Linked DNA regions of Arabidopsis thaliana. The protein of the gene in region 3 interacts with the protein of the main gene of each other region in a biochemical or structural test. Each region holds a gene or a part of one and is shown on either strand. Other genes may lie near its edges. The genes, in order: CPK4, CPK32, ABF4 and CDPK9.

What was found.
Region 1: of the proteins of ABF4 (region 3) and CPK4, one has a biochemical effect on the other in vitro, tested with the Arabidopsis thaliana proteins (one study listed by BioGRID).
Region 2: the proteins of ABF4 (region 3) and CPK32 form a complex in vitro, tested with the Arabidopsis thaliana proteins (one study listed by BioGRID).
Region 4: of the proteins of ABF4 (region 3) and CDPK9, one has a biochemical effect on the other in vitro, tested with the Arabidopsis thaliana proteins (one study listed by BioGRID).

Annotation. Positions count from the first base shown.
Region 1 is NC_003075.7:6,046,018-6,054,160, forward strand, and holds CPK4 (calcium-dependent protein kinase 4), read left to right. Parts: upstream 1-3,423; 5' UTR 3,424-3,542; coding exon 3,543-4,080; intron 4,081-4,622; coding exon 4,623-4,766; intron 4,767-4,855; coding exon 4,856-5,008; intron 5,009-5,109; coding exon 5,110-5,225; intron 5,226-5,437; coding exon 5,438-5,605; intron 5,606-5,692; coding exon 5,693-5,917; intron 5,918-6,005; coding exon 6,006-6,167; 3' UTR 6,168-6,363; downstream 6,364-8,143. Other genes in the region: AT4G09580 (SNARE associated Golgi protein family), read right to left, coding at 6,704-6,835, 6,910-7,080, 7,164-7,434, 8,007-8,143. UniProt on the Arabidopsis thaliana protein: May play a role in signal transduction pathways that involve calcium as a second messenger. Functions as a regulator of the calcium-mediated abscisic acid (ABA) signaling pathway. Phosphorylates ABA-responsive transcription factors ABF1 and ABF4 in vitro.
Region 2 is NC_003074.8:21,295,109-21,303,517, reverse strand, and holds CPK32 (calcium-dependent protein kinase 32), read left to right. Parts: upstream 1-3,813; 5' UTR 3,814-4,166; coding exon 4,167-4,694; intron 4,695-4,938; coding exon 4,939-5,062; intron 5,063-5,147; coding exon 5,148-5,291; intron 5,292-5,424; coding exon 5,425-5,577; intron 5,578-5,662; coding exon 5,663-5,778; intron 5,779-5,880; coding exon 5,881-6,048; coding exon of another isoform or gene 6,049-6,099; exon of another isoform or gene 6,100-6,142; coding exon 6,143-6,370; intron 6,371-6,464; coding exon 6,465-6,620; 3' UTR 6,621-7,061; downstream 7,062-8,409. Other genes in the region: AT3G57540 (Remorin family protein), read left to right, coding at 594-1,283, 1,695-1,895. UniProt on the Arabidopsis thaliana protein: May play a role in signal transduction pathways that involve calcium as a second messenger. Involved in maintaining Ca2+ homeostasis in pollen tube tips by regulating CNGC18. Functions as regulator of the calcium-mediated abscisic acid (ABA) signaling pathway.
Region 3 is NC_003074.8:6,684,234-6,692,547, forward strand, and holds ABF4 (ABRE binding factor 4), read left to right. Parts: upstream 1-2,808; 5' UTR 2,809-3,003; exon of another isoform or gene 3,004-3,652; 5' UTR 3,653-3,722; coding exon 3,723-4,841; intron 4,842-4,929; coding exon of another isoform or gene 4,930-4,974; intron 4,975-5,028; coding exon 5,029-5,100; intron 5,101-5,195; coding exon 5,196-5,225; coding exon of another isoform or gene 5,226-5,237; exon of another isoform or gene 5,238-5,473; coding exon 5,474-5,551; 3' UTR 5,552-5,890; downstream 5,891-8,314. Other genes in the region: AT3G19300 (Protein kinase superfamily protein), read right to left, coding at 6,009-6,520, 6,593-6,677, 6,775-6,864, 6,956-7,023, 7,104-7,156, 7,239-7,500, 7,578-7,862, 8,048-8,314. UniProt on the Arabidopsis thaliana protein: Functions as a transcriptional activator in the ABA-inducible expression of LTI65/RD29B (AC Q04980). Binds specifically to the ABA-responsive element (ABRE) of the LTI65/RD29B (AC Q04980) gene promoter.
Region 4 is NC_003076.8:7,948,396-7,955,785, reverse strand, and holds CDPK9 (calmodulin-like domain protein kinase 9), read left to right. Parts: upstream 1-3,166; 5' UTR 3,167-3,352; coding exon 3,353-3,881; intron 3,882-4,114; coding exon 4,115-4,258; intron 4,259-4,343; coding exon 4,344-4,496; intron 4,497-4,568; coding exon 4,569-4,852; intron 4,853-4,951; coding exon 4,952-5,176; intron 5,177-5,260; coding exon 5,261-5,398; 3' UTR 5,399-5,584; downstream 5,585-7,390. Other genes in the region: AT5G23590 (DNAJ heat shock N-terminal domain-containing protein), read left to right, coding at 850-1,524, 1,612-1,794, 1,884-1,916; AT5G23575 (Transmembrane CLPTM1 family protein), read right to left, coding at 5,745-5,893, 5,982-6,149, 6,233-6,452, 6,532-6,722, 6,801-6,894, 7,072-7,307. UniProt on the Arabidopsis thaliana protein: May play a role in signal transduction pathways that involve calcium as a second messenger.

The DNA.
Region 1 (8,143 bases), on a different chromosome or scaffold from region 3:
TTTCATGTGAATGATACATCATCATTTTAGCATTTATCACATGTTCTCTAAATAGTAAATGTAAATAATGGTTAATTATACATATTATTTAATTTTACATATTTAATTGTATCAATATTAATATTTAAAATTATTTTATTAGTTTTCTCATGCTCTAGGATTTTCTGCTAATTTTTATAATTTTAACTTAAAATATGGAATAAATAATAGTATATTGAATTAGCTAATAGTTCGAGTAGGTTATTCTTCAGAATTTTTAAAAAGAGTATGTGAGTAGCTCCACTATCAAATTTTTGAGGTTTGTATAATTATAACATTATAATTTATAAAATTGCTATAGCACAAAAATTGTTTAAAGATTGTGTGAGTGATACATTGTTGAAAATATTGTTAAGAATGTATTGCTAAAGATATTTATAGCAATTCACGGGCTTGGTATTTGGAGCTCAATAATTATCTCATCAAATCCAGTTTTAGAAACTAAGTGTCTGAATGCATTATTTCCTTATTTGTACATACAAAATGTTATACCATCCTCTATTCATTGGTCTATGTTAATGACATAATCATCACATGAAACAATTTGGATGCATTTGAAAATATTTTACAAAATCTAGCTATCAGTTTTCACTTAAAGACTTGGGTGAGTAAATATTGAAGAATAACTTACAAATTGATTCTATCAATCACAAATCGCAAACCTGAATGCTTTCGGTTGAACAAATCTCGTGCAGTTACTAGTGTTCCTCCTCTACCAAAATGACCAAGATGATATAGCATCCTACGATATGAACTAAGAAACCCAGTCTTGGTGGGATATCCGAAATCAACAAGATAGTACTTCCCACTAGGCGGATGTGGGAAAAAGGTTCATTCCTCGCACAATGATTCAAAACTTTTGTATCATGTGCTCTACAAGATATACTGACATATGCATATATGAATTTCATATCGAAGTTACATATAGCAAGAACATTCATTATATGTTCTATCTTTCTATATTTATATTTTTCTACAGATTGACTTAGACGGCGAACCGGGACATAAGTTCCATCAAGTGCTCCAACACAATCTCTAAAAACAGGCCAATATCAATCATCATTCTTCTAAACAGGGTTTACTCTCGTAAATTCACCTTCTTGTGGCTTTAGTGTATCCACTACAAACTTTAAAAGAGCACTCAAAACATCATCAATCTTTTTTTTTTTTACCGTATTCAATGACCGTTGATATCTTGTAACTATATCTCAAACAGTTTTATCCTGACCAACCACCTCGAAAAGTATTAGTGATTTCTACCTATATAGTGAAGAAGACCGTAAGTATTAGTTCCAAACATTTAGACCCATTATATAGAAACAGACATAGAATTTGGAAATTTTGAATAAACCGATCAAGCTGAGAGTAACTAAGAGAACACAAATAAATAAGAAACTCAAAATATTTAAGAGATTTCAGTCAGTGAATAACGAAAGTACCTCGGAGTAGAGATTCAACGTTGTATTAGAAGTAACCAACGACGGGAGATCTAGTTGAGCTCAAGTCACCGGATAATATTTCGCAAGATTGCGGCGGCGGAGAGAGATTGGTTTCAAAGAGTTTGAGATCGATGAGTGTAAGAGAGAAATGATGAAAAAGAAGTAGAAGAAATAGAGTTAGGTTTGTTTGTAGTTTCTCAAACATAATAAGGGTATAATTGTCATTTATCATATATAATACAACTTTTAAGCGTTGACCGCAGCATTATGCCGCACTTACTTGCATCTGCCGCTGTTGCAGCAACCTAGATAATCAAACGAACATCTTATTAAAAAAAAACAGAAGCTGAAAGCCCAAGCTTATTTAAAGATGGGCCAATAGGGGCCTGCATAAAGTTCCAATTTTATTTAGAAAATATCTATTTAACATCATTTATGAATAAAGTGTCCTCCGATGCTATTTGGGTTTGGTTAAAGATGGATTTTGGAGGTTTTCCAAATGATGTCAGATTTTGAAGATGAACAATGAAATAAATATATCTAAAGCTTATACATCTAGGTCTCTTACCCAACGGCGATGAAATAAAGAATACATGTACTAAAACGACGCATGCAAAATAATACCTGAAATTTTCTTTCTACGTTGGAACTCATTGCAAAAGATGAGGAATATTGCATAGCCATGGATTGGATAGAGCCATAAAGAATCGGTACACATTGCTTTTCATATTTTAATATCGTTAAGGCGTAATGTAATAAGTATTAGAAATGGATTTTTAAAAGTATTTAGATAGTTCGGGTTTAAATTTTATTTTATTGCTGATTGGACTTTGTTTTACAATTATAGAGAAATAATTTTGTGTTAAATTATAGTATTATACGACATTCACACAATTACATTTACATTAACATGTACCACGTCTATTTTATAATATTGCTCCAAAACGAAAGAGTGGTCTTCACGACGAGCGAGGTTTAAAATTTGTAGTCGTGCATTGCAAAAAGCTGCGAAAACCGTGTGAACTCTCAACCAAACCAAATATGATATGAAGAAATTGGTTCTTGTCCATTCGGTGGTTAGTGTGCATGCATGTCGGTGAATTTTATATGTTTTCCATTTACGACCTTTTCTCTTTATATCATATAGATTTTTAGGGGAAAAAAAAATCATATAGATTTTTAAAAAATCATGTTCCCAATTAAGACATAATGTTTAGTAGCCAAATTGAGAACCAACCTTTTTTCTGTTTATTAAATAATTTAAGTGGATGGATTTTACACATATATTTTAATGTCTTACATAAATAAAATATCATGTTATTTTTTTTGATAATATCATGTTTTATTGATAAAATCCATACATACTTGATACTTGCAAAAAATATCATGCACAAATTTATCTCTATAAATGGTTATCTACCTTTTTTTTTTTTTTTTTTTTGAACACAATTTACCTAATAATCTTAATAAATATAAGAGAAATGTAACGCATACTTTTGTTGGACATTGTTTTTGGTCGAGTCTGATTGGTTTTTTGTTCAGATCTATCGGATTTATGTATTTAAGATCTAATAAACAAATTATAAAAAATTTGATTCGATTTGGTTATCGATTTTATTAATAATGTTAATATAATCCGACTTACTTTGGTTAGAAAAATTAATTCAAAAGTAACAACAAAAAAAAATTGGATAACAAAACCATCTAAAATCCTGCTAATTAATTCACATCTAATAACCGAATCCGAACCTAAATGACCAAACCATTTGTGTAAAAATCTCAAGCCTAGTCCCTATATTTCAATAGATTTTTTTCTTTTTTTTTTGGTCAAGATCAATAGATTTTTTTCATCAATTCAATTTATTGCAAATTTGCAATAATAGTTGGTAAATACTATAAATGTAAATGGTCACGGGATAACAAAAGAGCAATAATAATATAATAATTGCATAAGACGAGTCAACATGACCAAGAAACATTGAAGGGTTCGTAACTTCGTATCATCTTCCTCCTCCTCCTTTGATAAACACCAAAAAAAGGCAGAGACTTTCGAAATCAAGAACAATGGAGAAACCAAACCCTAGAAGACCCTCAAACAGTGTTCTTCCATACGAAACACCAAGATTAAGAGATCACTATCTCCTCGGCAAAAAGCTAGGCCAAGGCCAATTTGGAACAACCTATCTCTGTACAGAGAAATCATCATCAGCTAATTACGCTTGCAAATCAATCCCAAAACGTAAGCTTGTATGTCGTGAAGACTACGAAGATGTATGGCGTGAGATTCAGATCATGCATCATCTCTCTGAGCATCCTAATGTTGTTAGAATCAAGGGTACTTATGAAGACTCTGTTTTTGTTCACATTGTTATGGAAGTTTGTGAAGGTGGTGAGCTTTTTGATCGGATTGTTTCTAAAGGGTGTTTTAGTGAACGTGAAGCTGCTAAGTTGATTAAGACTATTCTTGGTGTTGTTGAGGCTTGTCATTCTCTTGGTGTTATGCATAGAGATCTTAAGCCTGAGAATTTCTTGTTTGATAGTCCCAGTGATGATGCTAAGCTTAAAGCTACAGACTTTGGTTTGTCTGTCTTCTACAAGCCAGGTTCGTTGTTGATTCTTCTCTTTTGATTGGAATCTTATGGTTTTTGTCTTTGTTGGTTGGTTCAAGGAAATGTTTTGATTTGGTTTCTTGATTCGGATTTGCTGCTTGAGCATTGTTAGGGAAAGATTGAATTTTGTTATATCTGGTTTTGACATTTAGTTGATATATATGGATGTGTTGATTGTGCAAGGTTTTGTTATATATGTAACATATGCTTATGGTTATGAAGCGATCTTATCAGATTTTATTCGATTCATTGTCTAGATTATGTTGAGAAATGTCTTGTTTGGTGTTGAAAATCGGTTTCATGATATGTTATCTGTAGAATCATTTGTTGAATGGTCATTTCCAATTTGCTGCTTGAGCATTGTTAGAGAACCAATAATTTTCTGTGGCTAGATCTTTCTGAATCTTTTCTTGCAAGATTTACATAGTTTTGTTGTGTTACTTATGCTTATGTAATGATGCTATCAGAGCTACATTGTGTCCGACTAATTTCAGTGCTTAACAAAATTTTCAATTGTGTGGGTTTGCATCTTCAGGGCAGTATCTGTATGATGTAGTTGGAAGTCCGTATTATGTTGCACCTGAGGTTCTGAAGAAATGTTATGGACCAGAGATAGACGTGTGGAGCGCCGGTGTTATCTTGTACATCTTACTAAGTGGGGTTCCTCCTTTTTGGGCAGGTAAGTTTGTGAAAGCTAGTACCGTTGTTACTACTGAATCAAGTATATTGCTTATGTGATTTAAGCATCCATGAGTAATTTGTTTGCAGAAACCGAGTCAGGAATCTTTAGGCAGATATTGCAAGGGAAGATAGATTTTAAATCTGATCCGTGGCCTACTATCTCAGAAGGTGCTAAAGATTTGATTTACAAAATGCTCGATAGGAGCCCCAAGAAACGTATTTCTGCACATGAAGCATTGTGTAAGTTGTTACTTATGATTGTTTTCCTCTCTGCTACATGTATTTTGTTGTTCATTTCTGTAAGATATAAGAATTGAGTTTTCCTCTGATGATATTATTAGGTCACCCTTGGATTGTTGATGAACATGCTGCACCAGACAAGCCTCTCGACCCAGCAGTCTTGTCGCGACTTAAGCAGTTCTCGCAAATGAATAAAATCAAGAAAATGGCCTTACGAGTAAGAAAGTTGTAGCCCTTTAGTCTCCACTCTCATTGCTTATTTTCAAGAACTGATTTCCCTGTTAGGAAGATCGACTAAGATAACACATTTTAAGAACTATTTTCAGGAAATGAATAAACTTAAGTAAATGGCCTTATAAGTTGGAAAGCTATAGTTCTTTAAACTCTCAATGCCATTGCTTATATTCAAGAACTGATTTCCCGGTTTAGGTAATCGCGGAGAGACTCTCGGAGGAAGAGATTGGTGGTCTGAAGGAATTGTTCAAAATGATAGATACAGACAACAGTGGAACAATCACCTTTGAAGAGCTTAAAGCAGGTCTAAAGAGAGTTGGATCTGAATTGATGGAATCAGAAATCAAGTCTCTTATGGATGCGGTAATTATACCAAAACAAAAACTCTCTTTTAGAATATTGATTTCTCCGTTCTTCTAGGAATCACAAAGCTTAAATGGTGTTTTGCAGGCGGATATAGACAACAGTGGGACAATAGACTACGGTGAATTCCTAGCAGCGACATTACATATAAACAAGATGGAGAGAGAAGAGAACTTGGTGGTTGCGTTTTCATACTTTGATAAAGATGGTAGCGGTTATATCACCATTGACGAGCTTCAACAAGCCTGCACAGAGTTTGGTCTCTGTGACACTCCTCTTGATGACATGATCAAAGAGATTGATCTTGATAATGTAAGAAGCCTTCATGATCTGTTTCCTTTGTCTTGTTTCTTAGTGAGTTTGGTTTAAAACTGATGATGAAAATATGTGGTTTTGTTAGGACGGGAAGATTGATTTCTCAGAGTTTACTGCTATGATGAAGAAAGGAGATGGTGTTGGGAGGAGCAGAACTATGAGGAACAACTTGAACTTCAATATAGCTGAAGCTTTTGGAGTTGAGGACACAAGCAGCACTGCTAAATCTGATGATTCACCAAAGTAATTATAATCATCTATATACTTGGAATTGAGAAATGAGAACTCACAAAAGAAAAACTGAATCTTTCCTTTTTGTTTTCGTTTCCACTTTTGTAGATGAGCAACTTTCTCAATTTTGTTATAAGCATGGATAATTTTGCTTCATATTTTCTGCGTATAGAACCATTATATGATCAGAATCACCCATATTTGGTCAAAGCAATGTCTTCAAGCATTTACATAATCATGTTTGTTATACATAAGCCAATAGGCTGCAGAGTCAGATCTCTGAATCAAGTATTCAATATACAAAGCCAATCATGATTCAGTAAACTAGCTACACAAACACTTACTACTACAAGGGGGTAAGAGAAGCTCTCAAATCGAAGACAATAAACAAATCAAAGCCAGAGTTAGCGATTTTAAGCTCCGCGATGTTGCAGAAACAATCTTCTTCTTTTATCTTGAGCTCATAAACACCTTTGAAATGCTGCCATGCGACTGAAAGGTGCTGCTCATCAATATCTATATAAATGATTATACTCTTCAGTCTTCGACTCTTCATTCATATACTCTCTTTCTCTTTAGAAGGGCAGGGAATATGGAGATGGATCCAATGAGGAACAGCACTGACAAGGTCTTGAAATCATACAAATCCTTTACTGATCTGAGATCTCCAAGAGCCAAACCAGCCTGTGTAAATGAAAGTAAATGTTAGCCTCTTAAACACGAAAGAACAGCGGAATGAGATTGAACAATAGACTCACTCTAACTGTGATGTACGAAGCTGGCATAAGACCGACTAGAGTCGCCAAAAAGAAGACGTGAAAGGGTATGTCAACGATTGGAGAAGACAAATTGATAAAGAGGTTTGGAAGTGTTGGTGTTATCCTTAAGAACAGCATGTAGTTTAGCAGCCTATCTCTTCTTTTCGCAATCTGACCCATTGAAGATTTCAAGACATTAATGCTTTCAGAACAAGAGACATTACTAAATACTAATCAAACACAAAAGAACTTACCTCAGCTTGGAAAAACCTCAACTTTTCAGGCCATAACCAGTTAACCAATGGCCTACCGACCAATTTCGATAAGAAGAAGCAAGAACATGCTCCAGCAGTTGCATTAAGGACAACAAGAACAAAACCTCTAACCACACCGAAAAGAGCTCCAGCAAGCAATGACATAAAGATCGTTCCAGGTATCATAAATGTCTGCATAAAGATATACGTCGAACAGTAACCTAAAATGAACCGTGCTTGGTACTCACTTGCATAAGACCCAAGATTCTCTCTGCACATATTCATCATATCAATATATCATCATCATATAGTAAGTCCAAGCATATCACATTCAACTGAAAACGCAACTTTCAAATCAAGTCTTAATGCTAATGCATGTACTTATTTTGAAATTCAAGTAACACTACTAAAAGCTAAACACTTTCAGTTTCTACATTTGCATAAATTCAATTCTCAATCTATAATACCAAACAACAAGCTAATCACATACAAACAAACTGAGAATGCTGATTCTAGAATCATGTCTTTAAGCTAATTTTCTGCTCTCTAAAGTCTAAACCAATTTATCGGAATCTTCGAAAGATTCAAACTTTCAATATGGGTTTTTGAATTAGAATTCAGATTCAACAGATCACTATTAAAAAGCTAAACACTTTCAATTCCTACATTAGCTTAAACTCAATTTTTTCAATCAATAGAACAAACGAACAAGCTTATCACAAACAGAAAATTTTCCATCAATTTTCCGAAAGATTTGAACTTTCAATTTGGGTTTAAGATTTAAGAGATAACTACTCAAAGCTAAACACTTTCAATTGTAAAAGAAGAAGCTTTTAATCTCACTTGAGCAATCGAAGATCGGAGATAGTTCTAGGAACTTTGAGCTTGCCGTATTCAGCGGCAGGCATGGTGAGGTAAATACAAAAGAGTCCGGTGGTGAAAACGAGAAAGACGGTGAAAAACACGGCGAATTCCCACCG
Region 2 (8,409 bases), about 15 Mb from region 3:
TGGCGTCTGTCCAGTGGGATTTCCGAGCACATTCATGAAGCTGACGTGAGTAGCTTCTTCTCGCGGGAATACACTACCACTCACTTAATGCCACGTAGATAATCTTTGCTATAACAAGACACGTGTCAAAAGCACTATCTCCATTTTTCGTGGTCGGTCCTATTTTGCCGACACTTCCCTCACTACGATATATCTATTTTTCTATCTTCATCAGTATTTTCTAATTAAAGATCTCTGACGATGCTCTCAAATATTAAAAAAAATTGTACCGAATTTATGTTACAGTTTCAAAAATTAAAACAAGCAATTAAAATAAGCAATGTCTTGCTAAATATCTTGAAAGACACACGTCTTCATAAATGTAGTGGCACATTTACTGGACCAACGTAGCTTTCATGGAAAAGACTTTACACTTGTTATAATTTTGCCTCTCATGTAAACTAAACGTTTTAATTCGTTACACGAATTATTAAAACCTAATCATTGATTATTTATTCCTGACCTTGTTTCTTCTCCTTCCATCACCTAATTATAATCAGACCTAAACTAGCTAATTACAACACTCCACTACTACTACTACTACAACTCTTCTGATGTTGACTTTGTACGGTCAAGAAAGGTCACCGGAGAACTCCACCACAAGTACGACCGATGCTTCCGATCGCCGGGATGAGACGCCGTCGTCGGAGATAGTCGTGAGAGATATTCACGCGATGACGACGACGACAGAGCTTACTCGGCCACAACAAAGGGGATCAGGAGGAGGATACTTGTCTCCGTCGAGGTCTATTGCTTTTAGCGACGGAACTACTTCTTCCGGTGAGAATTTCACCACCGTGAGCAGAGAGTTCAACGCTCTAGTCATCGCCGGATCTTCCATGGACAACAACAGTAACGGAACTAACCAATCAGGTGGTCATCGTGACGTCATACGTGATGAAAGAAACGAGCTGACTAGGATCGGCGAAAACGATGACGTTGGTGATCATGGTCAGGTGCCTGAGGAGGATTCAAATCCATGGGCGATTGTACCGGACGATTACAACAACCGGGACGGTTCAGAGAATAATATTGTGTTGGCGTCATCAGGTGGTCAGAACCGGATGGTGACGACTGCTTCGGTGCAGAGGGTGAAGAGAGAAGAGGTGGAAGCAAAGATAACGGCGTGGCAAACGGCGAAGGTGGCTAAGATTAATAATAGGTTTAAGAGACAAGACGCCGTTATTAACGGTTGGTTGAATGAGCAGGTTCATAGAGCTAACTCTTGGATGAAGAAAATCGAGGTGACTCATTTTTTTCTATTTTACGAATATCTTAGTTAGATCCGATCGATTAAGAGAACAAGATGACTTATAACATGCTTTTCTTGAAACTGTTTGCTTTTACATGTATAACAAAATAATTTAGAAAAACTATGTAACGTTTTCAAATTGCAAACGATAAACGTGGACAAGCGTTTTTTACAAATTATAAAATGCATATTTTATCCAACCAAAAAAAAAAAATCAAAATGTAAGAATTATGGGTTTATTTGAAAAAAAAGCAGAAACACAAATAAACGATAGATCCTTGAATGGTGGTGATATATCAAATATTTGAAATGTGATAAAGCTATCCAAAAGACTGACTAAATAGACGTCGATGTTGTCTTTGGAATAATAGATTATGCGATTGATACATATATGTGGATGCAGAGGAAACTGGAAGATAGGAGAGCGAAGGCGATGGAGAAAACACAAAACAAAGTGGCAAAAGCTCAGAGGAAGGCGGAGGAGAGGAGAGCCACGGCGGAAGGTAAACGAGGGACGGAGGTTGCGAGGGTTCTTGAAGTTGCTAATCTCATGAGAGCCGTTGGACGACCTCCGGCCAAACGATCATTCTTCTCTCTTTCCTAGCTAAGCTATTACTAGTTTTAGTTACATCCAAATGTCTCAATATATATAGGCTACCATTTTCTGTTGGGAATCAATGTGTATATAACTATATATAGAATGTAAGAGTTTTAAAGGTACTGATATATTTTGTAATTGTATGCTTTTTTCTTTGTCTGCACCACATAAAAACTAATAAAATGTTATTTGTAAGCCAAGAAAATTGTTTACATGTATTGTTTTGTCATTCCATCTGCTGAGACTGATACGACTAAAGAGTTAAAGAAAAGAAAAAAAAGGTTCAAGCTCTTACTTAGTTTCCAGCTCTGTTCATTTAATTACTCTCTCTACCTTGGCCTGTCACTCATGTGTTTAAGAGCTTTAACAAAAATGTAATTTAAGACGCCACAATTTACTAATTCAGGCTGCAAAGCTCGAAACCCTACGTATTTCAGGAATGGAATTTCGAACCCACTAAAATCTTGCTCAGACGAGTCTAAAACCTTTTTGCATACAACTTGTATGTATTTCTTACCACACTCTTACGGTGAACAAAACATAGACCTTATACACACAAGTGCAAGAAAGAGAGAAGTAAAGAGATTTTGAGATGGGCTGATTAAGAAAGGCTTATTTTCGGTTTTTGCTTCTGCCATAATGGGCCTACATACCCTTTTTTTTTTTTGGTAGAAATCTACATACCCTTTCTTTGTTAACTCTCCTATTTATTTGTCCATCAATATCATAGATATATTTTGTTTTGGTCGTTTTAACAAACAAGACTCAGTCTTTGGTAAATGATCAAATACTAAAGAAAATAGAGTGTACTGTATAAAACCCCTCATTTCTTGCCTAATTATATATTGCACTTAACTCTCTTTTTTAGTAACGGTAATCTAAGTAAACAAATTACAAATTGAATCATTGACTTGGTAGGAGTAAGACAAACACTCGTGTAAGGAAAGGAATGTCCATCAGGAGCTTTGATATTAATTTAGAGGCATTTGATAAAGTATCTTACCACATTCATACTCCGTTGACTTTGCTAATTATTTTATATATAAACTAACTCTAAAGTAAAATTTTAAGTATTTATGTTACTTTTAAATACAGGTTTCGACCCAATTGCACATATATCTGTAATCTGAACAATTATTAAATTAGTTGACAAAAAAATAAAAATAAATTTATTTCTATATCAGTTAAATTTTGATAAATCAAAATGCGTTTATCGATTTGTTGGTAGAAGTTTTATAGTGCAAAACCAAAATCATCAACTTGACAGAAAAAGCAAATAACTTTGAGTAATTACATATGTTGGTTGTTTTGTATCGAAGTCAAAAAAATTAGTTAGTTGGGTCCGACGAAAGTGATTAAAAAGAGTCAAAATCGCCGTGTTTGACCTTTTAATTATAAAAAAAAAACAGAACATAAAATAAAGGTGGCCGCTTATTTATGAACCCAAACACGAGCGTATTTACGGTTTCACCCTTAACTTTTTTTTATTTCCAAGGCGCTTAGTTTAAGAACGTGTCACAGACTCCGCTTTCTGTTTAATCCATGAGGTAAAATTCCTGAAACACCCCTGTCTTCGTAATTATTTGTATGATTCATTTCACAGATATATATTTATTTGGTGCTAGAATTTTGTTAGACATTCTATAAAAATAAAGAGTTTTCTAAAATTAAAATGAACAAAAATATTCTAAAAATAAAAAAAATTCTGCAGGAGTTTGAAAAAAAACAATTGGTGGACATTTAACTATTTAAGCCTTAATTTTTTTTGTCGGCATTTAAGCCTTAACTTAAGATCACATATATTCACCAAAAATAATTAAAATCACATATAGGGGTAATATTGTCAATAGTAATTTGGTAAAGCTGAAGGCATTTTGATTTCACATTAGAGTAATGTAATAGTAAGAAACATTCTTTGAAAATTAAAAATTTAAAGTGAAAAAAAGAAACAGACAAAAAAAGAAAAAAAAACAATCATAGAGCAGCTGGAGAAGAAGGGAGGGAAGAAGATTCTCTTGACCTTCCTTCCATCATCATCTCTCTCTCTCTCTCTGTAATTAATTTTTCGCAATTTTAATTTTCGAACAAATGATTTGACGTTCTTCTTGGTATTCACGCGTTGAAAATTTCCACCCTTTCATATATTGTTCTTCACCTCCTTCGTTTTTTTCTCATCCATCTCTTCCAGAATTCTCTTAAAGTTTCCTACTTTCCTGGAATTTCGTCCTCAATCTCTCAAGTTTCATCGGTTTTGATTTGGGTTTGATCGGAAAAGTCATGGGTAATTGTTGCGGAACAGCAGGATCATTGGCTCAAAACGATAACAAACCCAAAAAAGGAAGGAAGAAGCAAAACCCTTTCTCGATTGATTACGGTCTTCACCACGGTGGTGGAGATGGAGGTGGAAGACCTCTTAAGCTTATCGTTTTGAATGATCCAACAGGTCGTGAGATCGAGTCTAAATACACGTTGGGGAGAGAGCTAGGTCGTGGAGAATTCGGTGTTACGTATCTATGTACTGATAAGGAGACAGACGACGTTTTTGCTTGTAAATCGATTTTGAAGAAGAAGCTGAGGACAGCTGTTGATATTGAAGATGTTAGGAGAGAGGTTGAGATTATGAGGCATATGCCTGAGCATCCTAATGTTGTTACTTTGAAGGAGACTTATGAGGATGAGCATGCTGTTCATTTGGTTATGGAGCTTTGTGAAGGTGGTGAATTGTTTGATAGGATTGTTGCTAGAGGGCATTATACTGAGAGAGCTGCTGCTGCTGTCACTAAGACCATCATGGAAGTTGTTCAGGTTCGTCAAGGTTTTTTTGCTGTTTATTGTATCTCTTTAGTCTTTACTTGTTGCAGAATTGCAATGGCCTCGTATAATGTCTTGGTTTGTTACTGGTTTCAGTTTCTTGGACATTATTGACTTGTAGCATTGCTTTAAAGGGCTCAATTTGCTGCAGAAAGATTCAAAATTCGTTTCTTTTCATGTAAATTGAAAGTCTTGTGGAGTGATTTTAGATGTGAGATTAATGAGTGTGTTCTTGCAGGTGTGTCATAAGCATGGGGTAATGCACAGGGACCTGAAACCTGAGAACTTCTTGTTTGGAAACAAGAAGGAGACTGCACCTCTTAAGGCGATTGATTTTGGTCTCTCTGTTTTCTTTAAACCAGGTAATGTGGTCTTTCTGCTCAGTAGATAGCTGATTGCTTTGTGGTTTGTCAATAATCTTAACCCACACCGTTATTTTCTTTGCAGGCGAGAGGTTTAACGAAATCGTTGGTAGTCCGTACTACATGGCTCCCGAGGTGCTAAAACGGAATTATGGTCCAGAAGTTGATATTTGGAGTGCAGGTGTAATTCTTTACATACTGCTATGTGGTGTCCCGCCTTTCTGGGCAGGTTAGTTTTGTCAGTCTATGTTTCCTTCTTCTTGGGCCGTCTGTAGCACATGTTGTCTTCAGGGGTAGTATATGAAGAAGTGATCATAAGAATAATGAACCTGGTCTTCTGTTTTTTTCTATACCATTTTCAGAAACTGAACAAGGAGTTGCACAAGCAATTATTCGATCTGTACTAGACTTCAGAAGGGACCCATGGCCCAAGGTTTCTGAAAACGCAAAAGACCTTATCAGGAAAATGCTTGATCCTGACCAAAAGCGTCGTCTTACAGCTCAACAAGTCCTAGGTACAGATTTATATGATGCAATTTGCTTATATGGAATCTGAGACAGACAAAGAGTATTAATCGGTCTTTGCTTCATTTTCCTCAGATCACCCGTGGTTACAGAATGCAAAGACAGCCCCCAATGTATCATTGGGTGAAACAGTGAGGGCAAGGTTGAAGCAGTTCACCGTCATGAACAAGCTCAAGAAACGAGCACTCAGGGTAAAATACATATTACTTATAAACTATCCGAAAATGTATATCTCTTCTGATCTAAAAAGCCTAACAATAGTTTCGTTTGGTCTTGTTACGTTATCTCGATAGGTTATTGCTGAGCATTTATCAGATGAAGAAGCTTCAGGTATAAGAGAAGGGTTCCAAATAATGGACACAAGCCAAAGAGGGAAGATTAACATCGACGAGCTTAAAATCGGGTTGCAGAAACTTGGTCATGCCATTCCGCAAGATGATTTACAAATTTTGATGGATGCTGTGAGCTTTGATTTACCATTACTTTTCAATACCAGTTTTTGTGTGATTTGAATGCAGTTAACTGAGCTCTGGATGGTTTTCTTCTACTTTGCAGGGAGACATCGATAGAGATGGATATTTGGACTGTGACGAGTTTATTGCCATATCGGTACACCTAAGGAAAATGGGCAATGACGAGCATCTCAAGAAAGCGTTTGCGTTCTTTGATCAAAACAATAACGGATATATCGAAATAGAGGAGTTAAGGGAAGCCTTGTCTGACGAACTTGGTACAAGTGAAGAAGTTGTTGATGCCATTATCCGTGATGTTGACACCGACAAGGTTGGTTAACTTCACCATTTCACTCTCGTTTTCTTGTTGAAAAAAATCCCATCTCATAGAGAACTAACCATCATGAAAATTGTTTTTTTTGTAGGATGGAAGAATAAGTTACGAAGAGTTTGTAACGATGATGAAAACAGGAACAGATTGGAGAAAAGCTTCGAGACAGTACTCGAGAGAACGGTTTAACAGTATCAGTCTCAAACTGATGCAAGATGCGTCGTTGCAGGTCAATGGTGATACAAGATGAGAGAGGCTTAATCTGTGTCACTCACCAGTCTGGAAGATTGAATCAAAGGGATGCAAATCTTTCTTAATTTCTTAATTTTTATCTTCTTGGGTTGCTTTTTTTTTATGACACCACGATTAAAGCTTTTTAGGCATATAAAGTTGTAAGAGTTGTGTGTTTGATATCCTGGCTAATGAGCGAGCTGAGTATGGGGATCAAGAGAGAAAAACCGTGTTGGCCTTTGGCTGTGTGTAGATATTTTGTATAATCTTGTGTTGATAAAAGATAATATCATCAATTTTTCTTGTGATCAATCTGTAATTTTCTATAACCATTCAAGAATTATATGAGTTATGGATTTTGACAATGAGAGCTTGCTTTACAGATAAACTTACACGAGCTTATATCGAATATAGGCATTTTAAATTTAATAATTTCAAAAGAGGTATGTTGCACAGTTGAATGGGCCGCTTATTGTCTGATTTCGGACGATTTTAACCTTCTGGAGTAAGTGAGAAATTGATATTCCATTTTTGCAAGTGGTAGGATGATGTGAAAATAGGTGAAGAAGTGAAAACGATATACCCTAGAATTGGACTTGTAAACCCAAACCGTTTAGTTGACAGTCTGCGATGCATACACAGATACAACGACACAACACTACAACATTAATTAGACTTTCTCGGCTTGAGAAGATGAGGCCAATGAAATGATATTAGAGATGACTTTTCACAAGAAATAAGTACATGTTTTCGTGAAGACATATGAGAAATGTCTTAATAAATAAATTCTTAAGACAAATGCCTATTTTGTAATTAACTCAATTTACACAAAGCCAGATGTACAAATAAAATCAGAAACTAAAGTCCCATTTCGTTTTGTCCTGGTGGTCGACTTTGTCTTTGTGGTCACAGTTTTGTTTTCAAAACTGTACAATGTTTTAAATAAGTATATAACGGAAACTATATTGGCCATAAACTTTTATCAATCCCATATAGCTATAGTAGTCGAGAAGAAGGAAAATTCAGACAAAAATATAATAAACGTCGTTATTGGCTTATCGCAGCATCAAATCTAAACAAGTGGACTAAATATTTGTGTCCTCTATATTATTGTCATCAAGCATAAGACACCAGTCATTTGAATATTTGATCAACAGCCTTATAAAAAATAAAAATTTACAATCATATCTACTCGATGAGTTTGCAACTGTTCATGATATTGATATCCTACAAATCTGATACCCACACAATGTAGATAAAAATAGCATCACTGAACATCTGTTAAGTATTATAATCACAAACATACAAGTGAAAAGCAATTTAACTCAAATCATTGCTTTTTGGTACGTCTAATAAATATCCACCTCGTAGTAGTCTCATCGACACGGGAGACTTACGTGGCTATTTTTGTATTGTTGCCAAATTTTATTGAAAATCAAACAAATCAATCATGCAAAAGGCGTGAGGTTGAACGGTACACGAAGGATACACATGTCCGATGTCGACCTTGTAGTAAATAACAATATGATTTGGAAGGACACTATACATGATTACAGAGTTAACATTATAGTAATCACCGTAATTTATCATTGATTAATCGTCGTATTAAAGTTATATACATAGAGCCAACAAAATTTATAATCGTATCACACACCTAATGATAAAAGTCCAAAGTGAAAAAGGAATCTAGACAAGGACATGGTGAACTGATCAATGCTAATTAAGGAGATACTTTAGATCTTTTAACATTTGATTAAACAGAGCTGACGTGGATGAGACCCACTTGCGCCGTTTCATTACAAAAATTC
Region 3 (8,314 bases):
GATTTGGTTTATGAGATTCTTATATAAGGAGATGCTAAGTTGTGGCATAACTCATTGTGTTTAAGCATTGAGAGTTTGAGAGCTTAGGTTTTAAGGTATTTTCCTAAGTTAATAAAAGAGAGTTATTCTTTTATATTTTGAGTTCTTATTCACAATCTTATATCCTTAAATTCTATAGAAGGAACTAAGGAAGAGAAATGTATAGATCGTCATGGATGAGCATATACATGTAATTTTTGCCTCCTCTTAGAATTTTCTAATGACAACTCCAAAATAGAATGATTTCATATATTTTAAAAAAAAAAGAATGATGATGACTATTATTACTCTAGTTATAGCAATAAGCCAACACTATTCATCACAACATTTATTTTTAAAAATTTATCGACAAATTGATATCACACTATTATGAGACAAAACTAATACATCAAAATGCAAAGCTAACGATAGATATAAATAGTAGTTAATTAAAACTTGAAAATACAAAAATGACATTGTATTAATTGAATAATATAAAATATAGTGATGTAACTAACGTTCAAATTTCAAAGTACATAATCAATATGGAAACTAAAGATAAACAAAGTCGTCCTTTCAAACAAAATCCTTTCAGACTTTGGATCTGAATGATATGTAGCTCAAAGAATCAGAGGAAAAAGGCAAATAAAGCCAACGCAAAAGGTCCAAGCTAGAACAATGGATTCATGTCCGGGAAACCGTGGTAGTAGAAGACGTGGTGGTGGAGGACCACACATGACATAACTAGGGTTTTTCTTGTGAACTTTTTCTTCTCTAGCTTCACCGTAATATCTTGTTTTCGATGTTCTCTAAAACTAGCAAATCGTGTGTTTACACTACTCTTTCAAACTACTTTTCTCCATCTCTGACCCTTGAAGTCATAGCCATGTAATCTCTTTGCATTTTAGTAGAATACCCTGTAACAAGAAAAAATAATTATAGATAAAAACAACAACAAATAATCTTAACAAAACAAATGTTGATGCTTCAACGATTCGTCCTTTTTTAACACATTTTCTTGATTATATTTTGTGGCTAGAGGCCCTAGTCACAAATGCCCTCACCAACCCTTCAATCATTGAATATATACAAGCACAACCACATGCGATCATTTGGGATCTGAAATATTAATACAAACTAAGATCTCAATCATAAAAAAATAGAATGACTACAAATCTATTAGTTAATTAGGACAATTATTAAACATTTTTTCTATTCTCTATTTTATGTTTGAATCTTACTTTTTGCTAAAAAAATATTGCTCCATTGATATTTATAGTTTACTATAGTCTTGGTGATTTGTATGGATTTGTAAAAAGAGGTCAAGCGTTGATGGAGATGAACTCTACTTCTCACATCACTCGAGTCTTTTTAGATTAGTTTTTTTTTGATAAAAAGGAAACAAAGCCTAATTATGAATTAGCAAATACAACTACATCTCCATAGTCGTCCCTTGAATCTTGGTCGAACTCTGTAGCATCAAGGTTGAAATTAAACCTAAATGACAATCGTGTGTACGTGTATAAATATACATATAAGTGATGATTACATAAACTCATAGTCATATATGGGATCTATTATGGTTTTATGCTCACTCTATACGTCGGCCTAACGTGGCAAAAGTGGATATTTCTTTGAATATAAAATAGAAAAACAAAAAGCAAATAAGCAAACATTGCAATAATACCAAAAGAGGAATGAAAACATATTTCTGTATTTGGAAGTAATGATCTTAGACTCCACGCGACTGTGTTCTTTATTGTTTTGTTTCGAAGAGCGGTGTGATATTCTTATTGGCTTGCAACCAAAATGGGCTCCCAAAAAGAAAGCAAGCACCACCACTTCTTCTATCTGATGAGGGAACACTTTTAACATAAAAGTCACACAACCATAACATATATTCAAATTTCGGGTGATAACATAATGATAAAAATAGCACAACCCAATTAACTACATGTTTTGGTCATATTTTATTCATAGTTTATAGTTTTTTCTTTTTTTTTGGTAGGAGTAAAGAACACTGTCGCGTGGAGTCTAAGATCATTACTTCCAAATACAGAAATTTGGTTTCATTCCTCATTTGGTATTATTACAATGTTTGCTTATTTGCTTTTTTTCCTACTTTTTTTTTATAACATCTAGTTTATAGTTTTTGTTATATATTCAATCTATTTAGTGTCTAAACAATACTGATGATATCAAATGATTAAAAGGCTTTTGAACTGTAAAAATGACAAACAAATATCTATGATCTATGTCATAATTGAAAAAAAAAAGTTACCAATAAAGATTTTTTTTTATATAGGTAGTATTTCTTGGCTAATATGGACATGTATATAATTATATTTAGTCTTATCTATGTATGAAATTGGTTTGGATGTTGAAAAATGAATCATCCTTATCGTCAACCATTTTGGAAAGAGACAAATCTAGATTTTGATTTCTTTTTTTTTACAAATTAAAGATTTTATAATATATCACAATATTGTTGAAGATTACAATTGTGGCATATGTCAATTTGAAGATCAATTTGAATTTTTGATATACATCTAAAATAAGAAAACTAAAAGAACATAAGAAGTAATATATTTTTAAAAAATTGACCTAAAAACAAAGAATAATCATTATTATGATTTAACTCCAATGAGAAAACAATTCCAAGCACGATCTCCAACCACTCGAATCTTCACTGTCGGAAACAAACGGCCAATGTTTTACCACGTCGCATTCTTAATTGGATGTAAGTCTTTACAAGCACTTAAAACATTAAACTCTTTTTTCTCATTCGTCCACGTTTCTTTTTAAATTAATACTGTTAACAGATAATTATTCACAAAAAAATAATATCTGAAGAACAAAAAAAAAGGTTTCAGGGCCTTAAAATGGCTGCTCGTGTCGAGGCGGCAGCAACACACTTGTCGTCTCTCCCTGTAGCTTCTCTGGAGTTTTCGCAGTCACGAATCTTGTTTTGAAGAAATTAATTTGGTAAAACATATTTTCGAGCTCCTTTCTCTTTTATTATCCGTTTTCTGACTTCTGGATCTGTCTTTGTCGGATCATCCAATTTTTTTGTTGTCTTTCCTCTGTTTCGTTTATGAATCATGATGATGTACATGTTGTAACTGAAGTAACTTTTGGTTATCAAATTAGAGTTAAAGAGAGAATTTTTACGAGATATTTGTTATAAATTTATCGATTTGATTCTTGTTGCTATTAGGGTTTTGTCTATTTGATTCGATCGGGTTTTTTTTAAGAGAAATGGGTTGTGGAATCTGGAATAGATCCTTCTCATGCTTGTTGGGTTTTGCTGATTTTCTCGTTTTTGGTTTTATGAGTAAACTCTGTATCTGGTGTGAATTCGTTTTCCATCAAAAAAAGTCATCAAATTACGTTTTTTTATAAACATTATCCAAAGATCTGACCTTTATTGATTGACTTTACTGTGCTTTTACATTTGTTCGCACGCATTTATGTGGTTTGTCCAGTTTCACTTTAGTATTCTTTCTCTTATATGGATGTGAACATGCATTAGTGACACATAGTTCACTCCTTTTTATTTTCCTCGGAAGTTCTCTTTTTCATGGATTCTTAGCATTATGTAATATACACTCTAACTGCTTTACTTTGATTTTAGAACAAGGGTTTTAGGGCTTGGATGCTTTGTTTTCATTGAAAAAGAAGTAGAAGGAGTGTATACAAGGATTATGGGAACTCACATCAATTTCAACAACTTAGGAGGTGGTGGTCATCCTGGAGGGGAAGGGAGTAGTAACCAGATGAAGCCAACGGGTAGTGTCATGCCCTTGGCTAGGCAGTCCTCGGTCTACTCCCTTACCTTTGATGAGTTACAGAACACACTAGGTGGACCGGGAAAAGATTTCGGGTCGATGAACATGGATGAACTCCTGAAGAGCATATGGACTGCTGAGGAAGCTCAGGCCATGGCCATGACTTCTGCGCCAGCTGCTACAGCGGTAGCGCAACCTGGTGCTGGTATCCCACCCCCAGGTGGGAATCTCCAGAGGCAAGGTTCGTTGACGTTGCCTAGAACAATTAGTCAGAAGACTGTTGATGAGGTGTGGAAATGTTTGATCACCAAGGATGGTAATATGGAAGGTAGCAGCGGAGGCGGTGGTGAGTCGAATGTGCCTCCTGGAAGGCAACAGACTTTAGGGGAAATGACACTTGAAGAATTTCTGTTCCGTGCTGGGGTTGTAAGAGAAGATAACTGTGTTCAACAGATGGGTCAGGTCAACGGAAACAATAACAATGGGTTTTATGGTAACAGCACTGCTGCTGGCGGCTTAGGTTTTGGATTTGGTCAGCCAAATCAAAACAGCATAACATTCAATGGTACTAATGATTCTATGATCTTGAATCAGCCACCTGGTTTAGGGCTCAAAATGGGTGGAACAATGCAGCAGCAACAACAACAACAGCAGTTGCTTCAGCAGCAACAACAGCAGATGCAGCAGCTGAATCAGCCTCATCCACAGCAGCGGCTGCCTCAAACCATTTTTCCTAAACAAGCAAACGTAGCATTTTCTGCGCCTGTGAATATAACCAACAAGGGTTTTGCTGGGGCTGCAAATAATTCTATCAACAATAATAATGGATTAGCTAGTTACGGAGGAACCGGGGTCACTGTTGCAGCAACTTCTCCAGGAACAAGCAGCGCAGAAAATAATTCTTTATCACCAGTTCCGTATGTGCTTAATCGAGGACGAAGAAGCAATACAGGTCTAGAGAAGGTTATCGAGAGGAGGCAAAGGAGAATGATCAAGAATCGGGAATCAGCTGCTAGATCAAGAGCTCGAAAGCAGGTGAATATAAATCTAACTAAACTTATCTAGTCCCTTTTGTTTGGTTTGACTATTATGGTCTTATATTTTGCAAGACTGCATTAAACAGAAACATAAAACCAGCAAAGATATCTTCTATCCCGAACCACTTCTTGTATTATGAAAGATGCTTTATCTTCCATGTTTTTTAACTATCCACTAATTACAGGCTTATACATTGGAACTGGAAGCCGAAATTGAAAAGCTCAAGAAAACGAATCAAGAACTGCAGAAAAAACAGGTTTCTTTCTGTTTACAACCTCTCTGTGTGTTTTCTGTTTTCCCCTATCAGACTTTTAGAACTTGGCTCTGATCCTAGCTTCCCCTGTATTGCAGGCTGAAATGGTGGAAATGCAGAAGAATGAGGTAATTGTTTAAGAACTTTTCTTTTCATTGAGTTCATTCTGAAACCCTTGACCATACTTGATTAGGACCAACATCAGCAGCAAAAGACTAAACTTAAGTTGTAGCTCTGATAGTGTATGTTGGTCCTTATCAAGTATGTCCCCAACTGAAGCTCAAACCTGAGATAGCTTTCGAACATTTCGTGGTCTTGCTTCGTTTTGAATAGCCTTTTTGATTGTGTTGTTCACTAGTATTCTTTTCAAAATTAGCAGCTGAAAGAAACGTCGAAGCGACCGTGGGGCAGCAAAAGGCAATGCTTGAGAAGGACATTAACCGGACCATGGTGAAGGATGAAGCAACAAGAACGGATGAACCAGACTCCTAGCTTGGGATTAATGTAATAGGATAGTGCTACCTGTACAGGAGATTAAGAGAAATTGAGTGAAAGATCTAGGTTACAGAGTAGGAGAGAGTTTTCATTATGAATAAATGACATTTTGTGCCCTGACCTTTGTTAGTTTAGGTTTAGATTATCCTCTGTTATTGACTTATTGTGCTTTCTGGTTGTTAGGGTTTCTAAAAGACATAGTTGTTTATATATATGTCTGACTTTGTATTCCGGATTTGGTTCTCTTGTGTCATTAACTTGGGTTTAGCCATTATTACTTAAGAGTGGCAACGAAATCATTCTTGACTCTGGTTGGAAAACATATGTCATCTTTCAAAACTGCAATTAGAAAACAGTTAGGATGATCCTAAGTGACAAATTTCTAGAAAAAATGTGACTAATTTGTCTCTGCTCACTCAAAAAGAGAGACCATTTGGTGGAGAGTGAGGGGAGCCAGTCTCAAGCAGAAAACTCCGGCTACAATGCGACCTTGAAGTAGTACTAGAGGAAGAAGCCAAGCCACGGATGTCTCCACTTTGGAACCCTGAGTCACCTCTCAGTGACCGTCCTTTGTTCTCTTCAACTGCCATTGCAAGCCCGAGATGCAACGGATCACAGCTTTCGTACAACAGCCTCAGAACTTGCTTGATTGATGGCCTAGCCACGCCTTCTTTCTCTGTGCACCATCTTACAACTGCCACTACTGTTTCAAGCTGTTCTCCATCTATGCAGTCTTTGATTCTCGGATCCACCAGATCTATGCGTCTTGATTCTGATACCAGCAAAGGCTGAGACAGTTCTACCAGGTTCCTACCTTCATCAACCGCTCTTTTCCCAGTTATGATCTCTAGCAACACCACTCCGTAGCTGTACACGTCGCTTTTCTCTGTTAGTTCATGTGTTACAACGTACTCTGGATCTACATAGCCTGAAATTCAGATTTCATGGTTTTAGATTTTGCTCAATATTTCAAGAGTAGTTAATTCCTTAGTATCCTGACCTGGAGTTCCGCGGATATCAGTATTAACAGGTTCAAAACAAATGGAGCCATCTCTAGAAGCATGTGCAAGGCCAAAATCTGCAAGCTGCACCACATAACCCCACACCCACAGGTCAATTCTTTAAGAGGTAAAACGAATTGATAAGTCAGTGACCAGTTGATGTGAAAGGATGCAGACGCACCTTAGCAACAAAGTGCTCGTCGAGTAATATATTGCTTGACTTAATGTCTCTGTGACAGAGGGGAGGGTCACAGTAGAAGTGAAGGTATTCCTGCAGGAAAGGAAGCATATCCAGTTAAGAACTAAGAACAGTAATAATAATATAAACCATAGACTAGAGTATCAGTTTTATGGAAATTTACCAGAGCATTAGCCACATCAATTGCGATTTTCATCCTTGATTCCCAACTTAGTGGAGATTTTTCCGTGGCTGCAGAGAGGAATAACAACGTTCAAGATTCTTAGTCAAGTCTAAAACAGAGGAATGCAATCTGAAAATCATGAGCATACAGTGTAGATGATCCTTCAGGCTCCCATTTTCCATATACTCGTAGACAAGGAACCTGTAATTCTCAGGTTAGATGAGCAAAGGGCAATCCACACAAATGGGGAGAAACGAAATGAAGGTCAACCGTAATCATTCACCTCTCGTTCTTCTTATTACAAAACCCTTTCAAAGCAACTAGGTGGCGGTGATGCAGCCTGGCGAGAAGCTCTATCTCTCTGCAAAATTCATCTTCAGCTTGTTCAGAGCTCTTGTTCATCTTTTTTACAGCTGCAACCAACCCATTACTGAACTCAGCTTTGTAAACAGTCCCAAAGCCCCCACGGCCAATCACCGCGTTGAAATCTTCAGTTGCTTTCCTTATCTCCTTGTAGCTGAATTTCCGAAAACCAAACGAATTACCTGAAAAATCAAAACCACACATTTGTTTTACATGGTCTAACATCCCTTGTTAGTGTACCATCAGAAGAACTCTTCACCTTCATGAATCATCGACCTTGGGCGGGGAGAAGGAGATGTCCTTGTTAGATTACAAGCGATGCTCTTGGAGTCATCAAGTTCTCGTTTTTTTCTTTGGATAAGAACTATTAGGACTACAACCATCACAAGAGCAAAAACTGTGACAGCAATCCCAATAGTCGGAACCATTGTCAAGTGATATGGATGGTGACTTTTTAATGGAGACAAAACAAGATTATCGCTGCTTGGACTATCAGCTAACACTGGAGGAGAAGCTTCTGGACTCAGCGATGATGGAGACGAACCTGAGTAGATGTGTCAAGAAAGTCAGAAAAGAAAAGAAAGTCCAATCTTGATCTGATACTAAGAAGATTATACAGGACACACTAGTAATATATACAGGATCTGTCAAGCATCTTTCCCAATATAGAAACAATGATAAGATTCTACACTCCATGAATGGTATGTTGACAGAGAAAACAGTATATACCTGGAGTGGGGCTAAGCTCAGGCACATTAAAGAAGCAGCTAGCTAGTTCAAGAGCCGATGAATTGTCAACCCGGCTTGCTAACACAGCATAAGTTGCATCACGACAAGTACTCAGTTTGATGCTATTATCAGCACCAACGAGGCTCCTAAGGTAGCTGATACTGGAATTCAAACAATTCCTGCATTGATCACCCGGAGGAAGCGGGAGTTTGCAGTTTCTGGAAACATCTCCAAAACTTGTGGAATGAAGCATTGGCGGTACAGTAG
Region 4 (7,390 bases), on a different chromosome or scaffold from region 3:
AAAAAAAATTGTGTTCTTGCTTGTCTGTTTATTTTGGTTTATTTACAATTCATTCCGGTTCAATGTTAGGCTTTCATTAACCGATTTAATTATTCTTCCGGTTTAATCAAAAACAATTATTCTTCTTCTTTCACAATCTCTCCTGTGTTATTTACGCCGACTCAAAGAACCCAAAGCTCTTGGAGGAGGTGATCTTCTCTTCTCAGATCATCTTCTACTCTTGAGTATACCCTTCCTTTGAAGATAATTCCTAGTTTGGGACTTATCCTTACTTCTCCGGGATTTCACTTTAATCCACCGAAGAGTTTTGACATCTGAATTGTATTGTTTTGGGTGTGATCCCGATAGAATTCGAGGGTAGGAATCGGAAAGGTACGTTATGAAATTTGATAATTGTGATTTCTGTGACTCGTTATTGATTTTTAAGTAAAAGAACGAAGCTTTGTATATGATATTCGGAGTTCTAGGTTTAATTGAATTGTTGTCGTTGATGTTTTGATGGGGTTTAACTTTTTGAACTAATTGCTCTGAAATTGCTTAACCAAATCAAGGGTTCCTATCAACTGTGTCAAAAGTTTTCTCTTTGTGAATTCCCTGTTTGATGGCTAGGGTTAATAGCAAGTGAGACCATGAATTGCTTTTTATGGTTACTATGTTCATTCTGTTATTCTGAAGCCGATATTATATGTTGCCAAGTTTGTGTGTCACTTGAATTATCTGTTATTGTACAGTTGGATTTGTGAAGCATTTATCTGTTTCTGTGTTTTCGAATTTGCTAAAGCTTTTTAGAGTACTAACTTCTTCTTGGTTTTGCTGCAGTAGGGTGATTTGGTTTAGAAGAAGAAAGAAATGGAGGGTTTTGTCGATCACTACATTGTTCTAGGTTTAGCTTCTGGAGAGGAAGCTCTGAAGCTTACCGAGAAGGAGATTGCAAAAGCATACAAGTTGAAAGCTTTGGACTTGCATCCTGATAAACGCCCTGATGATCCTGATGCCCATGAGAAATTTCAGAGGCTTAAGACATCTTACGAGGTTCTCAAAGACGAGAAAGCCCGGAAGCTGTTTGATGATCTTCTTAGAATCCAGCGTGAGAAACAACATAAGAAATCGCAAGTAGATTCCAAGAGGCGTAAGATGATGTCAGATCTGGAGGAAAGGGAGCGTTCTGCTTTTTCTCCTAATCCTTCCGCTAGAGCTTATGATGAAGAAGAGAGAATCGCTAGGAAGCTTAAGGAGGAGATAGATAGGATACGTGCAAGACATGCGAAGAAGAAAAGTGGTTTCCAAACTCCAGAGAGTAATGTAGATGAAAAGAGAAAAGAAGAAAGAAGTGGTGCTGGAGCTAGTGTTCAACTCGATAAAGAGAGAATGTTGAAGGTTTCTTGGGAAAAAAGTGGTGAAGGGTATACAGCTGGAAGGCTAAGAGAAGTGTTTTCTGAGTTTGGTGAGGTTGAAGATGTTGTTATTAGGAGTACCAAGAAGAAATGTTCTGCTCTTATTGTAATGGCTACAAAGGATGGAGCTGTGAGTACTATTTTACTAAGTTGGTTTCTCTCTTTTTCTTTATACATCAAGAAGTTAAATTGATTCAATTTGTTTTTTGTCTTATAGGTTGCAGCGACGAGGACATTGTGTGGCAATCTTTCTAATCCATTGTTGGTTGTACCTCTTCAGAAAGCAGCCCAAACTGATTTTCTGACGGCTAAGAAATCTGCAGAAGCAGAACCGCAGAGTAACATAGTAGGTGCCGGTCTTCAAGCTTATGAAGATGCCGTCATGCAAAGACTGCTACAGGTATTTTTCTACGCTCCTCAGGTTCTTGCTGATTCATTCGTTTGTGTTTTTTTTTCTCAAGAACTCTCATATTTTACTCTCTTCAACAGGCGGCTATGGACCAGAAAAAGCGAGGGGTTTAAGCCACATGATCAAGAACAAAGCTCCTTCAAGACCAAAGTGATAAAGAATAAAGCTCTGCTTCATGATTAAGAATTAAGCTCCTTATACATTGTTTGTGTACATCCAATCTCATATCAGTTGTTGTTGTAGAATTTAAAATTCTAACTCTTCTCGAAAAAAAAAATGCTTCGTATCATCTTCAGGAGAGCTTTCAATTTGTACCGGAAGTCTTTTTCAAACAAGTTTTTGTTTTGAAGAAAATTTTGGATTTGTATAATATTCCTTTATCTAGTTTCATTTGGAATTCTGTTGTAGATTTCATGTGTTTGTCCATGATTTCACCAAATATCTCATTTATTTGATAATTCAATCACTACAATAGTATAAAAATGTGATGTTTAGAAGATATATGGATTTAAAATGTAATTAAGCACAGGGTTGATGGTTACTAAATAAATAAAGTGGACACTGACAGAAAGTTAGAAACCAAACGAGAGGAGGCAAAGACACAAACTAGAATGCGTATGAAAGAGAATGAAATTTTCCTTTTAATTTTCTTTTCTAAAATGATTCGATGTCTTCATCATATTAGCAGAAAATACATGTGACAAAAATAGTTTCTTGAATAAAAGTAATTTAGGTTTAGGAAAAAAAGGCTATAATTTAAAACGAGCTACAGTTTCTTCGTATGTAAGCGAAGGAGACGTTTTTGCCTTTATTTAGTGCCCTAAGTACTGTACGTAGTGTAGATACATATCTTCATTAAGTAGAAAATTTTATTCATAAAAACTCAATTAACTTTTTTTTTTTCCTTTTTATTGCAGTTTTAAGTTGTAAATTACATTGTTTTTTTTTGCAAAAAGTATGCAATAAAGTATTAAATTAATTAACACTATCGCTACAACTACTTCTTTAATTAGTCTATACTATTAGATATCATATAATTTTATTTCTTAAAAGTTAAAAGAGGCAATATTGTACATTTTGAATGCATTGTGCCTTATTAAACAATTAAATTTATTTAACTTTAATAAAGTTAAAAATAAAAATAAAAATTTGGACTCTGGTAGTATATTACCTGATTAATATATTTGAGTATTTGACCAAATTTATATATTTAGAAAATATAAAAATATCAACTAATTAATAATTCAACTATCAATGAATTTTTTTCCTTCATTCAGTTAAAAGCATTCATGGAATTTGTTTTACTTCCCATTTTTTCATTTGATGTGGACAAAAAATCTGAAATGGAAAGCTATTATTAGCTAATCAATCATTGTCCAAAACTTGGTTTTATTTCTCTCCTAACTCTTGACTTCCCTCTCTCTCTCTCTCTCTCTCTCTCTCTCTTCAATGCCTTCTCCAAGTCAGTTTCTTTCCTCATTCAACAGTTTCTCTTCTTCTTCCTCTGCTTAAACGAAACCCTCAAAGAAATAAAAAAAAGCTCTCAAGAATGGCGAACAAACCAAGAACCAGATGGGTTCTTCCTTACAAGACCAAAAACGTTGAAGACAATTACTTTCTTGGTCAAGTCCTTGGACAAGGCCAATTCGGAACCACTTTCCTCTGTACCCATAAACAGACAGGTCAAAAGCTTGCCTGCAAATCCATACCCAAAAGGAAGCTCCTTTGTCAAGAAGATTACGACGACGTTCTGAGAGAGATCCAGATAATGCATCACTTGTCTGAATACCCCAACGTTGTCCGTATAGAGAGTGCGTACGAGGACACCAAAAACGTGCATCTTGTGATGGAGCTTTGTGAAGGAGGTGAGTTGTTTGATAGAATTGTGAAGAGAGGTCATTACAGTGAAAGAGAAGCTGCTAAGCTTATCAAGACCATTGTTGGGGTTGTTGAGGCGTGTCACTCTCTTGGTGTTGTTCATAGAGATCTTAAGCCTGAGAATTTCTTGTTTTCTTCTTCTGATGAAGATGCTTCTCTTAAATCTACTGACTTTGGCCTCTCTGTTTTCTGCACACCAGGTGTGAATTTGTTCTTGTTCTTCTCTAATTTTGTTCCGTGACTGTGTTGGGGATGTTTATGAGTATCAATTTCGTTACTTGATGAGTCAGTTTGTCTATTAGTAGTACTTTAAAAGAGCACATTGACCCCTTGCTTAAGATCCCATCTTTCAAATGCAGTGACTGTGTGTGGTTTAGCTGAATTAGTTTGATAAGGAGCTCTTGTTTTGGACACACAAATCTTTGTCTTTCAGGAGAAGCATTTTCGGAACTCGTTGGTAGTGCTTACTATGTGGCACCTGAGGTTTTACATAAGCATTATGGTCCTGAATGTGACGTATGGAGTGCTGGAGTTATCCTCTACATTCTCTTATGTGGTTTTCCTCCTTTTTGGGCTGGTATATTTCCAATGCCTTCTTTCTTTATAAATGCATTGTTTCCACCAAGTGCTTACTCTCTCTCGGTGTCTTATTCTGTATCCAGAGAGTGAAATAGGCATCTTCAGGAAGATTTTACAGGGAAAGTTGGAGTTTGAGATCAATCCTTGGCCTAGCATTTCAGAGAGTGCCAAAGATCTTATAAAGAAAATGCTTGAAAGCAATCCTAAAAAGAGGCTAACTGCTCATCAAGTGTTGTGTAAGTTGTCATGTCTGCGAAAGTTGATGAGTTTTTTTTTCTTGTAAGCTGATTCATATGTTCTTGTGTCAGGTCATCCGTGGATTGTGGATGATAAGGTTGCTCCAGATAAACCTTTGGACTGCGCGGTAGTGTCCCGCCTGAAGAAGTTCTCTGCAATGAACAAACTTAAGAAGATGGCTTTACGAGTTATTGCAGAGAGACTATCTGAGGAAGAAATCGGTGGTCTCAAAGAACTGTTCAAAATGATAGACACAGATAAAAGTGGGACTATCACGTTTGAAGAGTTAAAAGATAGTATGAGACGTGTTGGGTCAGAGCTTATGGAATCAGAGATCCAAGAACTCTTGCGTGCGGTAAACTAGCTACTACTCCTTTATTATCAACTTTCACTTTTAACATCTTTGTTGTGGCTGGAAGTAATATCATCTTCTCATTGTGTGTGTGTGTGTTAGGCTGATGTTGATGAGAGTGGAACAATTGACTATGGAGAGTTCTTAGCTGCAACAATCCACTTGAACAAGCTGGAGAGAGAGGAGAATCTAGTAGCTGCATTCTCTTTCTTTGATAAGGATGCAAGTGGTTACATCACTATCGAAGAGCTTCAACAGGCATGGAAGGAGTTTGGTATAAACGATTCTAATCTTGATGAAATGATCAAAGACATTGATCAAGATAATGTGAGTAGTACACAAATGATCTTTACTGTTTGTTTGATGAAGAGCTTGGAAGAAATGTTTATGGTGGTTGCTTTTTTTTTGTAGGATGGACAAATAGACTATGGAGAATTTGTGGCAATGATGAGGAAAGGAAATGGCACTGGAGGAGGGATTGGTCGGAGAACTATGAGGAACTCTCTCAACTTTGGAACTACTCTTCCTGATGAGTCTATGAATGTCTGAAGTACTCATTTTTAGTGAAAATAATTTAGCGACTTTATGGAGCAAAACATGTCATATGATACAACTTGCTGTTTCTGCTTACTCTAATTCTGCTTTTAACAACTCTTAGTAATTGAAATTGTAAGCTCTCAACAATTTGTAGAATTTTCCCATGGATTTTACCATATCTCAGAGCTTTAGAGAAAATGTTGTTTTTTTCCTTTTTCACAAAAAACCAAAGGAGTTGCTTAATAATGTGTCTTGAGGGTTGACATTAAACTTGAACAAAACAATTTCCAAAAGTGAGAACAAAAATAAATTAAGACACTATAACTGAACTGTAATAAAATTTGAAGAAGAGAAGAGATTAGTTTGTTTTCTTGTCTTCTTCTTCTTTCTCAGTGATCAACTTCTTCTCTGCAGTTTCATCCTCACCTCCAAAACCGAACTCGTTCACACGTGTCTTATCCACTGGGTAAACCCACCTTTGGTATAAGTATATCAAGAATATCACATCTGAAACACAGAGAGAGAGATCCATTAAATAAGACTGTTTCTGAAAATCTGAATCGAAATAGAGAGGAATTTGATAGATTTTACTCACCATCTCTGAATACAGAAAGTCGATGTAAAATCGGCATTTTGATGACAAAGGCAAAGAGATCGTCGATAATGGTGTTGAGGAACTTGTAAGTCATCTGTCTCCATGGTAAATGTGCCACTGATTTAAGCTTGTAGTTGATGAATAGCTGAGGACACATCATGATGAAACCTGCACAAAACAAACCCCAAACTCAAAACAGCTTCACAAGAGAGATTCTCAACAGTTATTTTAAGGATGGTGAAGGCTATTACCGAACATGTAGACACAGCTTGTTAGTGAAGATAGTATCCAAGAATACCAGCTCTTGTGGCGTTCATAAGCGAGAGAATATATGGACAAGCCAATGACAAGGAGGAGGAGCACATAGGATAAGAATTTGATGGCAATGTCATCATACTCCTTGGTTTTATTGCTTGCATACGATTCACGATCATGGAACCTCAACCTTGGAATCATTCCACTTCGATCAACCTGTTAAGTTTAAATGTTTACTGAGGTCTACATGCAAAGCAACAACATTAGAAATGTATATATAAGAACTTATAAGTACCTCTATGCGCATGGCTTTCCCTATTTTCCAGAACTCAATGCAGACACCGACTCCGGAACTAGCCAGTATCATCCATGAAGTGTCGTTGTCAAGCAAGTAGAGGAAGATGACAAACTGACAGATAAAGTTCAGTACAACAGACTTTGCAGACAGCCCTTCCATAGATTTATTTTTGTTCCAGAATTGGATATCTGCAGGGTAGGCCAAAAATTAGTAAAATTTCAACAATCATTCCTACAATTGTTAGGAAAGATTTCGGTCTTACTTACCATTTTTGAATGCCAGGAAGTCGAACACTGAATGAAGCATCGAAACAAACATCGTGATCCCCAAAAGATAGGGATTTCCTTCCAAAAACACCTTCTGTAATAAATAAATTACACAACAAAATAATATTTACAAACAGCTCCAGGGAGAAACCAAGAGATATGTAAAGAAAATAATCAATAGTGTCTCTCCACCAACTAGTTTCAAAAGTTAATAGCAAATCATAAGTTCATGGATAGAAGATGGTGATTGACTATAAATAACCAGAATTACCTTTAGTTCGTCAGATTCACCGTCAAGCATGCTTCCATAGCTACGCTGCATCTGGAAAGATTGATCAACTTGCTGAAACAGTTGCCACTTCATCATGCTTATGGGACTTATTTCCAGATTTAGTGGTAGTTCTGAGACTGTCTCATTGACTGGAATGAACTTGTCCCTTAGCAGCCAAAACTCATTGAAGTAAATTGTAGGATAGTAATTTCCTGTGGTCGGTTCTACCAGTAAGTCTGCAAATCTAAAGTTAAGTACCAACATATAACAAATTGGGCAAGTAGACAATCACAATGCCAAAATGAAAACCAAAATAAGA